Caenorhabditis elegans: one gene and its partner. The protein of the gene in region 2 purifies or fractionates together with the protein of the main gene of each other region. This does not show direct contact. Each region holds a gene or a part of one and is shown on either strand. Other genes may lie near its edges.

Region 1 (6,986 bases), on a different chromosome or scaffold from region 2:
ATTGTATCGTGGGAATATGTTCAAACTGAGAAGGAGAGTACAACAAAATGCCAATATTATCACTCACATAAAACTCATGTTGACTTTCTCTGGTTTTGACGTCTTTCTATTTACAATTACTAGACAATTAGAAAGAAAGAGACCTCTGGATTTTTAATTTTAAAAATTCAAATTCTCATAATAGACAGCATTTGTTTTTTTGTGAAGTTTTTTCCCAACAAAAGATGTACGCGGAACGTTTTCACAAATTGACATTGTTTTGTTTTCCCTAAAACCATTAACTTCCGACATGTCTCTGTTGGCTTTTCTTCTAGTCACCATCAAGACGACATAACATTTCAATGTATAAAATGGAATTAACAAATTTTATTGAAACTTCAATTTTCTCTTGTAGTTTTGTATCAAAGTGCCTAACTTTGTTTCAAAAAATTTCCACACTAACATTCAATCAAAGGTATTTTTAAACTTCGAGCTAGAAGTTTGTATTTTTGTTTCAAAATACATCATCTTACTTTATTCTTTTCTAGTTGCAAAATCCTAAAGTTCAAATGATGCATAATTGAGTGTATGCTTGTTCAGTTTTGCTGCATATTACCAAAACTAATTATGCTTCTGATTGTTTTAAGGTTACAACACTTTGAATTTGCGTCAATTGTTTTACAATTCTTTATATAGATTTTTAATTGAGTTAAAAATCACCGACTTCCGTTTTAAAATGCCCCTATTCTTACAAAAATTTTAAATTGAATTATCCGCACAATTTATTGTGTGCCATGCCTGTTTATATTACCAAACTGTCATATTTTCTTATGCACTGTAATTTTAACAATGTAAAGTTTTTCACTCGACGTACTATTTTTTTTTGAATTGCAGTAAATTTTGCAATATTTTTGTTTTTGAAAAACTGGCAACCTGAGGAAAACGGAACTGTTTTGTAACTTCAAAGAAGCAATTTTAGAAATTTGCAAAAGTCTGAATTCTAAAATTCTAGTTCAAATCCTTGTGATGTATAAATTATCCTGTCATCTTGGAGATTTTGGATAACATTTTGAATGTATCAAAATGTTAGAATCTGGTTTCTCGTGAAAAATTAAATTTCATTACATCTCAGAATGTTTCACGATTTTGATCTACATCTAATATATATAACAGGTAAACTTGTTCAAAAATTGATTTTATAATAGTTTATATTATGGGCAGCCCGTGAAGCTTGAAATGAGTAATTTAAAAAAATAAATCCGCTGCACGTTTAGCTTAATACTTGAAAAAAAGTTGAACAGTTCTATCTCATCAAATACATCTTTAATCTCTTTTTTTTTGACTTTTGCTTTGTTGCCATAAAGCTATTTCAAAATTGTACCATATGGCAAATGAATGCTTTTAAGGTTTGTTGTTGAACAAGAATATTCGTTAGCCCTCTTTTCGGAAATGTATGCGCTTACATATGATCTTTCAAAACTCCGCCTCTTTTCTGTCTGCGCCATAGCTTCTCTGTGCTCTCTTTTCTACAGTCAAATGTCTTATGCTCATTTTTTTTCAGTTGTGGATCTTGATGTCTCCTCCTTTCCGTTCTCTCGATTTTATTTTTTGCTATTCTTTGGAAAGGCGTCAATTTATTATAGGCAACGCGTGAGCTAAATTTTGAACTTTAGTATAAAAAAAGCGACGAAACAATGCGATACAAAAGCTTGTTCTCATTTACAAAACTGACATTTTACGTAGAGACTCAAGTCTTGGCAAAATTTTAATCACACGAAATTTTATAAAAGTCTGAAAAAAGCTGTGAATAATTTAGATAGCCTCGAACACATGCAGAAGTGTGCAAAACTGATAGAATGCTAATATAATGTTTGAAAATTTTTAACAGTGTGTACCTAGATTTAGTCACTAAAGTATGTGCTATGTTACAATTCTTCTATTTTTTTTTCATATATCCTTTTATTCACTGGTGGGCCATAAAAATATATCTCAGATTGATCATATTTAAATCTCAAACGATGGAAGCCAATTCTAACAGAATAAGCTTTGTGAACCCAACTCAGACCCCACAATACGGTTTAAATGAAGAATTCAAAGGAGATCCACAGTCAACGATTAAAAGTCCAGAAACGCGGGTATGTTTTTTTTCAATCTTTTGAGAGATATAAACTGTGCTTGTTTTAAAGTAAATGGAAAAAATATGAGACATGGTCTTGCGAGCATTTTTTGTTTTTGCCAGTTTAGTGGGGATGAATGTTTACCACTGTCCTTAATTTTGTGACAGATGTTCTTCCTCGTACCGCACCGGCACGAGCACTGGCCGGTGTTTTTTTTTCAAAATCTCCACTCACACTAAAACATGAATAACACCAGTTGCTTTTGTTGATTAATGCTCGATTTTCAAGTTATGCAAAAAAAAAAATTAAGGGACTTAATGAAAATGCGTGCAATGAAAATGAAAGAGTATTTTGCTGTGCTCACATGGAGATACAGAATATCATTGGTTCATCCTCACCCAAAAATTTAAAAATTTTTAATTTATAATATTTTGAGTGGATTTCCAGCTTCCTGCCAAGTATGAACGTTTTGCTCCACAGATGACTACATACTACACATTCCCTCCAGCGAACCCGGCGTTTTTCTCGCAACCGATGTATCCCCAAAGTTCGTGGATTCCGGAAACTCAAAATCCTTTAGTGTATTTTCAAGGTGCTCCCGTGGTGCAGGTAATTTAAACCAGATAATTATAAATTTAAATGTTGTTTCATGTTTGAATTCAGGATTATTCTACATTTTCATCAGCCCCATACCCATCTCAACCACCCAATAATTGGAATGTTCAGGTTCGGACTTTTATTGACACATTTCGAAATTAAAATGTTACAGAATTTTACAAGCTACCAATATGCAAACCAAAATCACCCAGCACAACTGCCACATCAAAAATACTACAATTCCGAGCAATATGCTTTACAAAGTCAGGTAAAAATCAGAATTTCAATTGAGAACAATTACGTGGCATTCCACATTTTTTAAACCTACCATAATCAGACCATGGACGGAAAATTTATTCAGCCATGTAATCAATACCAAATGAACAAGTTGTGTTGTGTATCTCCTCCTTATCAGTACCAACCAAGGACTCCAAATGCTCAAAGCTCGCCGAACCTGAAGGACCTGAATTATTTGGATGTAAGAAAGAAGTTTAATGTTTTACAATTAAATTGAATACGTTCAGTAAAAAAGTAGTGATTTTGGAAGTTATTGTAATAAAAAAAATAGGTCGGAATGAAAAATATAAAAGGTTGACTCAGAAAACTCGAAAGCTGATGCTCACTTAAAAAAAATCGGAATTTTCCTGCAATCGGCAATTTTGGCAATTGTCAGTTTTCAAATATTTTGGCAATTTTGGCGATTGTCGGTTTTCAAATATTTCGGCAATCGGGGATTCCGAAAATTGCCGAAATTGCTGATTGCCGGACATTTTCGGCAATTTTCAAACATAATTATAACTCAAAAAATGAAAAAAAAAATCACCTTGTTAGTATTTGGTTAGTCATTTTCTAATAGATAACGGCCAAAACTTTCAGGATTTAAACATTTTAAGCTTGAAAAGAAAACATCTTCTTTTAAATGCATGTTTAGACTCAAAAATTTACAAAACGTATTAAATTTATGTTCCCGGCAATTCTGGCTTCCGGCAATCGGTAATTCCGACAATTGCCGGTTTTCAACATTTTCGGCAATCGGCAATTGCGGCAATTGCCAAAACTGCCGAAATTGGCGAAAATTCGATTGCCAAACGACAATTGCCGCCACCTCTGTTTCAAATGTAATTTTGCCCTTTCCGTAAAAAAATAATCAATACGTTCATTGTTCATCTCTCCTTGAGATCGTAACAAAACTACCTAAGTGAAATATAATTTTATTTAAATTTTAACTAGTGTCAAAAAAAAAAATTTCATGAAAATCTTAATCATCTTTACAGCATTTGACTCCGTTTTTATTCCCACCGGACATTACTTCTCAATACAGAAAACATAATTGCCGAGGAAACAACCGTAACTCCAAGGTATCAATATTGATTTATTTCATTTTTGAATTGAGTTATTTAGACTAGCAATTTCCGGAGAAACGACAGGAAAAACCAACATGGCCATAACCAAAACCGTTCAAATCAAGTATCCAGACAGCATTTGCCAAACAATAATGCATCATCTTCATCCTCCTCATCAGGTGTCGTTTCCGAATTACCGCTGTCTCCTAACAAGACTGAGCTTAAAATTGTCATATCTCATGGAAATGAAACAGTTTGTGTTCTGAAAACAAAAGGTAACAAGAGTCCGATACAATTTTTTTCTGTTTTTAAATTCATCTCTCGTTCAGATATTGATGGATGCAACGCTCAACAACTTTCGAATGTTGTTGAAATTCCTATGGTACTTGCTCCCTCCCTCTCAATACAATCTACTGACTCGTTCAACTCGGCTTACGAAGATGCCGAAGAATCTTTAATTCAACCACAAACTAAAAAGAATGAAGGTGACGCTTATGGAAAATATAATTCAACGCTCACAAATTGTCAAACAAGGAACCAATCGGAGAAAATGAAATCATCGCAATGCTTGATCGCAGATGTCGCCGAGAATGAGAGCCCGAATGAGACAGGGCCTGCTGAATTCAATATTTTTTGTACTGTACCGGAACAATCTTCTAAACGCTCAGAGCCCGACGTTATAGTTTCTGCTGCAAAATCAGTTACTGAAGTTGAAAATACAATACTTGCTGAACATGATACCGCTACTGCTGAAAACTTTTCGAACAACGATGAACCAATTCTTCTTAGCGTTACTAATCTTCACGATGAAACAAATAACAAATCAATAGATGTATCACTGAATCACCCATTGCCACCTTCGACAGAAACTGGAGTTGTCAGCGGCAAAGTTTCACAATTGGAGGCACCAATCAGTACAATTGTGCAGGAAACGATCCGAATCCTCGCCGAGAGAAATCTACTCCGTGACATCAATGACTTTCATCAAGAAATACATTTGAATGTCATGCAAGAAAATATTGGACAGTCTCTAGATCATGCTGCAATAGAAAATGAGGAACATCCAGAAACTGAAAGTTCCTTTGAAAGTTCAAGCGGGTAAGTTTTTTTAAAATGAAATTTCTTACGAATATTATGATACTCCAGTAGTTCCAACCCTTCTGTCCCCATTGAGATTGATCAAAAAATGCAATTCAACAAAAACAATCCATGGGAAAAATTGGAACAATATACTCCGTGAGTTTACAATAAATATTAATTGAAAACAAATTATTATTTTTGACATTCATGAAATTCAATTTAAGTTCTGAGTTCAACCGCCATTGTCATTAAAATTTCAGACCTTCAATCATTATAGTCTCGTGCGCAGATTCTTCACAAAGCCCACACAAAGCTTCGTAAGTTGACAACGGAAGTATTTTTTATAATGCACATCATGTTTTAGAACTCTCAAAAACCCCGGTTACGGCTGCTGTTCGGGCATTGGCAAGAAATCAAAATACAATAAGAAAGTTGACAAGAAAGAGTGAGTTGAACTAATGTGAAGAATGGTAAACTTGCATACAAACCAGACTTTTAGTCCTGAAAACGATGTTACAAGAATAACATAGGCATAGCTGTTTCGGAGTAAACCCCGGCCCTGATACTGAATAGGAACTAAAAAAAATATTTTACTTATTCACTCATTTGTTACTGAATCATTAACACTTATTAAAAAACCACCTGATCATGAGAATGCATACCGTTCTGGCGCGCGAATATCTCGTAGCGAAGGCACCTAAATCTTACATTTTTGAATGATATCTCGTTGCCGCTTTTTTTTTTCAGAAAATAGGCATTCTCATGAATTCGTGGTTTTTTAATAATTAATCATTCAAATGTGGCGAAAACATCTTGATAGTTTTTTCCTTTTTTTCCTGGGCAGTTATGTTGTCTGTGTACTCTACAGGTTCACTTCTCTCTACAGGCTCACAGGCCATTCTCGAGGGAAAACCTGTCAAGATGTTGTAACGTAGAAATTGAATGTATCAACTATGTTGGTGTAATAACTACTAACTAGCATAGTTGGTACATCATCAATCTTTATGACGTTGGTCGGAAGGATTCATGGCACTACTGATTTGACGTGAAAGTGGATAACGGGACTGAAAATAAATTTTACAGAGTTCTCCACTTGACAAACTTTCAACTAAACTAAGCAACGGAGCTGTGCGTTTCATTCTATCTGTTTTTGTGTTTTTTAGCTCATTCTCATTTTCCTGTATTCTTCAATTACTTTGTTTGTATAATTTTCGTTTAGCAAAATTTGGAATCCCAGTTCGAAATCCGGCCACACAAATCTTCTCTTCAACATTATGTGTATTCAACAGCAACCTTTCCATGTTTTCTCTTGAATATCAACTTTTTACGGTCAAAGTTGATCAAAATAAAATGTATCTTCTTGTGGATTTTTTATGAGCCCGAGTAGACTGTTTGAAAAAAACCTGTTTATTCACATTTGAATTCCACAGAGATCAAAAATCAATTATTATTTGTGGATACTCCTTTTTCCGCATCATTCAATTCTTCAGCTCGTAATAATTCCGTTTTCTGCCTCCATCTTCTTGGCTTACATGCAATTCCAAGAGTTCGGACAGCGAAGAATAAAAACTCAATCACGCTCATAATGCTTGCGCCTGAAAAATTCACTTTTTGAATTGCGAGTTACTCAAATTGTTTAAAATCACCTAAAAACAAGCCAGCTTGGCCACCCATATCGGCCATCAAGTTGAACCAAGAATACGACTCAGATTCTCTCAATATCTCATAGCTCATTTGTTCATAATAAATTTCAATCATTGCGGCGTGTTCTCTGAAAATCGATTTTTTGTCATTAACTGTCAACTAATTTATTTGAGAATAAATGTATTTTAGAAACAAAACCATTTTTCAAGTTACATGTTATATCCAA
Region 2 (4,581 bases):
CAGAAAATTGATCAATTTTGCTCATTTTTTCAACAACTTCCTCATCTGGCTCAATATAAATGACATTTTTAGTTTTCACGGAAGATTTGTCAAGTTGACTAGATTCAATTATTGGGCGGAATATTGTCTGGAAAAATTTAAAAAAATTAAAAAGTATTTAATTTAATTACGTACCACATTATGTCCTGCATCTGTTAAAGTATCAGCAACCGTGTTCAGTACTTTAATATGACTGTGACCGTACAAATTCGAATAAATTAGTATTTTATATGGAAGGGCAGCATTTAGAAGTTTGAATATAAATACAAATGTAGTTACTAAGTTCATCTGAGACTAAAAAAAACTTTTCAAAAAACTGTGTGTTGCAAAAGAGACTGCTGGTCTCTTTTGCGTAACATTGTGTGTCTATTGCGCAATTCTTTTTTTTCTGTTATTGTTAGAATGTAAACATTGAGCATTTTGAAAACAGGAAAATAGGGTTAAAGAAGTTGGTTGATGTGAAAAAAAAAGTCCAGCAAAAAATAAAAAATTTTCGAGTTACAATCTGAAATTGGGACAAAAGAAAAAAAACTGATTCACATGAGAAAAAAAACGCGCCTGATGTTGTGTTTGACATAACAATCATCGTATATTATCAATGAACAAATTGATTTGTTTTTTGTTATGAAATATACTTTTTTGTAACCCTTTGCCATTGTTTAGTAACTTTTTTAATATTTCAAATGCAATCAAAACCCAATTAAAGATTGTCCAAAGCAGCGTCGAAGACTCATCTGTGAAGTTACAGGCAAATTTTAAAGTTATTTTTATAACTAATAAATTTTCTTCGAATGTAAAATTATTGTTGAAATCATCAAACCGCTGCAACAAGCCTAGTGTGGATAAGGTTTTTTTTAATCGGTTCCCTGAAACTGTAAAAAAACCCTGAGCCTAATTTTTTGACATTATATCAAACTTCAACCAATAGATTGACAGACGAAAAAATAGATTGACAGACGAAAAATAGATTGACAGACGAAAAATAGATTGACAGACGAAAAATAGATTGACAGACGAAAAAATAGATTGACAGACGAAAAATATATTGACAGACGAAAAATAGATTGACAGACGAAAAATAGATTGACAGAGGGGGTGCAAGACTATTAGAGGCTGCAAGACTTATTTTCGAATGCTCCAAAACTTCGAAAAGTGACCAATTTTTGATTGCAAACTCAACGTGATATCGCTTAAACAACAAATATACATCTTTCTCCAATATTTCATCAATCAATTGAACGATTTTGATCAAAAACTCGAGTTCAATTTACCCAAAAATGGGTAAATTTATTAACGTCGCAACCTCTAAACAAGATATTGCTGAACTGGCAAACAGTCGAGTGCAAGACTATTAGAGGGCGGTTTAATATTTGATTCATAGATTTCCAGCAAATTCACAGGGGTGGCTGCGGGTCATTTTGTTTTGCCTCATTTGCAGAACTTAACTTTTTCTTTCAGCTTTACATAGTTGTCTATTATCAGTTAAATCAAAATATTTTCGAAAATTTTGCTGCTTTCAAATTTGTGCCTGAAAACAAGTGCGAATCGTTTCGAAACGTCCAATAAAATGCCAAAACTGGTGATTCAAATTTGCATGATGAAGGCAAACAAACCATATTTTTATTCCCCTTTTTCAAACGTTATCAGTTATCACAAGCGACTCTAGCCGGTCAACATTTTGTCTTCGGTTTATCGATTCAAACGTTTCTTTCTTTGTTTTTGTTTTATTCAGCGTTTTAACTTAATAAAACTTAATATATACTTTTACAGGGTACACAATACGAACCATTAAAGTTTAAACGATTGATTAAAAATAATAAAGCATTCTAAAACAATGTCCGGAAGAAAATTGTTCTTATTTGCCGCGAGAAGAGACATTACACGAGATGGTACATGCCTGATTCTCGCAGATCCAAAATCAGGAACTCGTCATTTCGAAAGTGAGAGTGATCTTAGAATCAGCGGAATTCAACTCGGAGATTTTGTTCATGTAAATGTAGATCCTGCTGGAAGACTTTACAACTTCTGCAAGACCAAACATACTGCAAACATAGAAGTTGAAACTGAAGGGAACGTGGCATATGTGAGTTATTTAAACAAATATTTTGTGAAACCACATTGGCGTACCTTACTTAAATTGATGTAGATCGAACCCTGAATTGAGGAAAAGTCAAGAAAATATGTTTACATTTGAAACTGTGGTTGAAAATTTGTTTTAATTTACGAAACTACGAAACCGACACAAAAAAAAATAGTTTTCAGATTCTGAACGTCTATGCCAAATTATCAGTAAGTGTTGGAAAACTGATATTTCACAATAATCTTTTTGGTGATGCAATCTGCCGGGAATCGTTGCTTCTGGGAGATTTTAGAATTCGAGTCAATTTGTATGAGATACCATACATATTTTATATTTCATTTCTGATATTCCAGACTTGCCTCACCTTTGGAAATTTCCAATGAGCGGAAATTACATTTCGAAGCTTCTCGTGCTGAACTTATAAAGCCCTATTCAATGGAACTTAGTAGAACAGACCAATCTGATCGAATGGACTCAGGATATTCATCAGTTTCAAGAGAATCGCCGCATCAATTAGATCAAACTGTCGGTAGGGGGTTTTCGACAGCTTTCGAAAATGGAGGAAAAATTATTGGAAGAGGATTTCAATCCGTCAAGCAAAACCCGGATATTATCAAACAAAGAGCTGTAGTTTTGAGTAGTGTTGAAAAACCAATTGGAACTCATTACTATTTATGGAATGTGGACTCCAAAACGTTTGTTCAAAATATGATCATTGATAATATGAATTAAAATTTCAGAGAGAGTCTGTTTGTCTCCAACAAACACCACTTAGAACAGGGTCACTTTTTTGATGGGAACTTCAAGAAAAATGCTGATGGAACCAGATGGACGTGCCAAAACTACGGACAACCCGTCGAGCAATTGGCTGAAGGGGGAATCAATCAACGGGGAAAAATATTCTTCACTGTGAAAATTGAGAACTTTCAACCAGCAAGAGGAAATCGAAAGTACGGCAGCGCTTTTAATAAATATTTTGGAGAAATTGTAAGTTTTAAAAAAGGAGAAGTGGGTGTGAGAAATTTATAGAAAACTGTAGTAAATTTTTAAGTATTCTCTACATATTAGTGCAGAATGCCGCACTTATTTTCGGGCTCTTTGCGACTGCCGCGCTTATTCTCGGACTTTCTTTAAAGTTTTCATTAACTACAAGATCTTTCACTATTTTAGTTTTGTTGAATTTTTGAGCATATTCGAGCACATATTCGATCAATTTCTTCCAATTTTTTCGAACTTCTGATGTCGATTTACTTGACATTTTTGTTCTAAACGATCAATAGAAACTTTAATGATAGTTGTTGAAAAAGAAAAACGGTAAAACTGAATTTTTAATATTCAATATTTCTTTTTACCTGAAGAACTAAAATAAATTAATCATTTTAAATGATTCAAAATTTAGTCCATTTTGCTGATTTTAAACTAAAGTTGCTCCCTTCCTGACAAAATGTTTTAGCAATTTCAATTAAAAAAAATGTTAGTTTACTTCATCTTTCAATAGTGTTACTTGAGAAAATAAAATCAATTATTTCAGTTAGAAGGAGATTCTGAAAATACAAAGTTATCAACCGATCATAACGGAAAAATGGTACATATCGAACGTCGTGGAATCGGAGAAAAAGATTATGTTTGGATGGTTACTCAAGTTTTATAAATGGGGCATTGCTGAAAAATTTAAAGAACCATGTTGAAGTCAATTTAACAATCGTATATTCATATTACTATTATGTTACTGATTCTATTACTAATTTGTTAATACATACATTAAAATTGTCACTTACTCTCTAAGTAGCATGTTCTTACTTGGCTCACTAATGAGGGCTCAAATTGTTTCATTAATTTTTTAGTTGGTAACATATTTTGTGTTGCACTGTTTTGTTTGCATCTTTTGTGTGAATGCATTACTTAAAGCCATTGAAGTTTAATAAATCTTTTTTTTAAATAGAAAATTGTGAACGCCCAATTTTTAGAACTCATTTCATGGCCAGAACTTGTGCTCAAAATATCAGTCTAGTAATATAATGTTTCCTGAAAATTAAGATTGTTTCATGATTTAATAAGAGAAGGAACGAGTATTTAGAATCACTTTATTAAAAAAAAAAATAAACGTAACCATATGGTAACACATTGTAGATGAGCATCCTTCGTGATTAATAGATATATCGTGTTTGCTTCTGTAAAAGCCTTTCTAATAAATCAAGATGTTTATTGCAATTTTTTTTATCTTCACCATTTGTTTTGTATATGATTTGAGCCATCACGGTTGTTTTTTTTTCAATAAGGACGTGAATCTCCTCTCTAATCTACCGTACTCTCTAAAACAAACAGTTACATCGTTAAAATCCAACATAAAATCGGAAATTCTACGTGCGTCACAGAACAATTAAAATTAATAGAGCTATTTCAGCATTTGAATTGCAAAAATGATAGGCTGGGCAAGAAAGGTGGAGCGTGAAAAATTTGTT

The links. The genes of interacting proteins can lie anywhere in the genome.
Region 1: the proteins of C49A9.6 (region 2) and E02H4.2 fractionate together in Caenorhabditis elegans (co-fractionation; one large-scale study listed by BioGRID). This does not show direct contact.

The regions. Positions count from the first base shown.
Region 1 is NC_003284.9:14,276,611-14,283,596, reverse strand, and holds E02H4.2 (MIF4G domain-containing protein), read left to right. Parts: upstream 1-1,970; 5' UTR 1,971-1,997; coding exon 1,998-2,114; intron 2,115-2,543; coding exon 2,544-2,705; intron 2,706-2,759; coding exon 2,760-2,822; intron 2,823-2,865; coding exon 2,866-2,961; intron 2,962-3,054; coding exon 3,055-3,171; intron 3,172-3,967; coding exon 3,968-4,051; intron 4,052-4,094; coding exon 4,095-4,311; intron 4,312-4,365; coding exon 4,366-5,134; intron 5,135-5,182; coding exon 5,183-5,272; intron 5,273-5,376; coding exon 5,377-5,433; intron 5,434-5,480; coding exon 5,481-5,561; intron 5,562-6,199; coding exon 6,200-6,233; 3' UTR 6,234-6,475; downstream 6,476-6,986. Other genes in the region: Degenerin del-1, read right to left, coding at 6,557-6,711, 6,763-6,887.
Region 2 is NC_003282.8:6,209,127-6,213,707, forward strand, and holds C49A9.6 (MATH (Meprin-associated Traf homology) domain containing), read left to right. Parts: upstream 1-1,809; 5' UTR 1,810-1,873; coding exon 1,874-2,122; intron 2,123-2,301; coding exon 2,302-2,426; intron 2,427-2,472; coding exon 2,473-2,814; intron 2,815-2,859; coding exon 2,860-3,106; intron 3,107-3,650; coding exon 3,651-3,770; 3' UTR 3,771-4,055; downstream 4,056-4,581. Other genes in the region: ugt-24 (UDP-glucuronosyltransferase), read right to left, coding at 1-127, 175-327.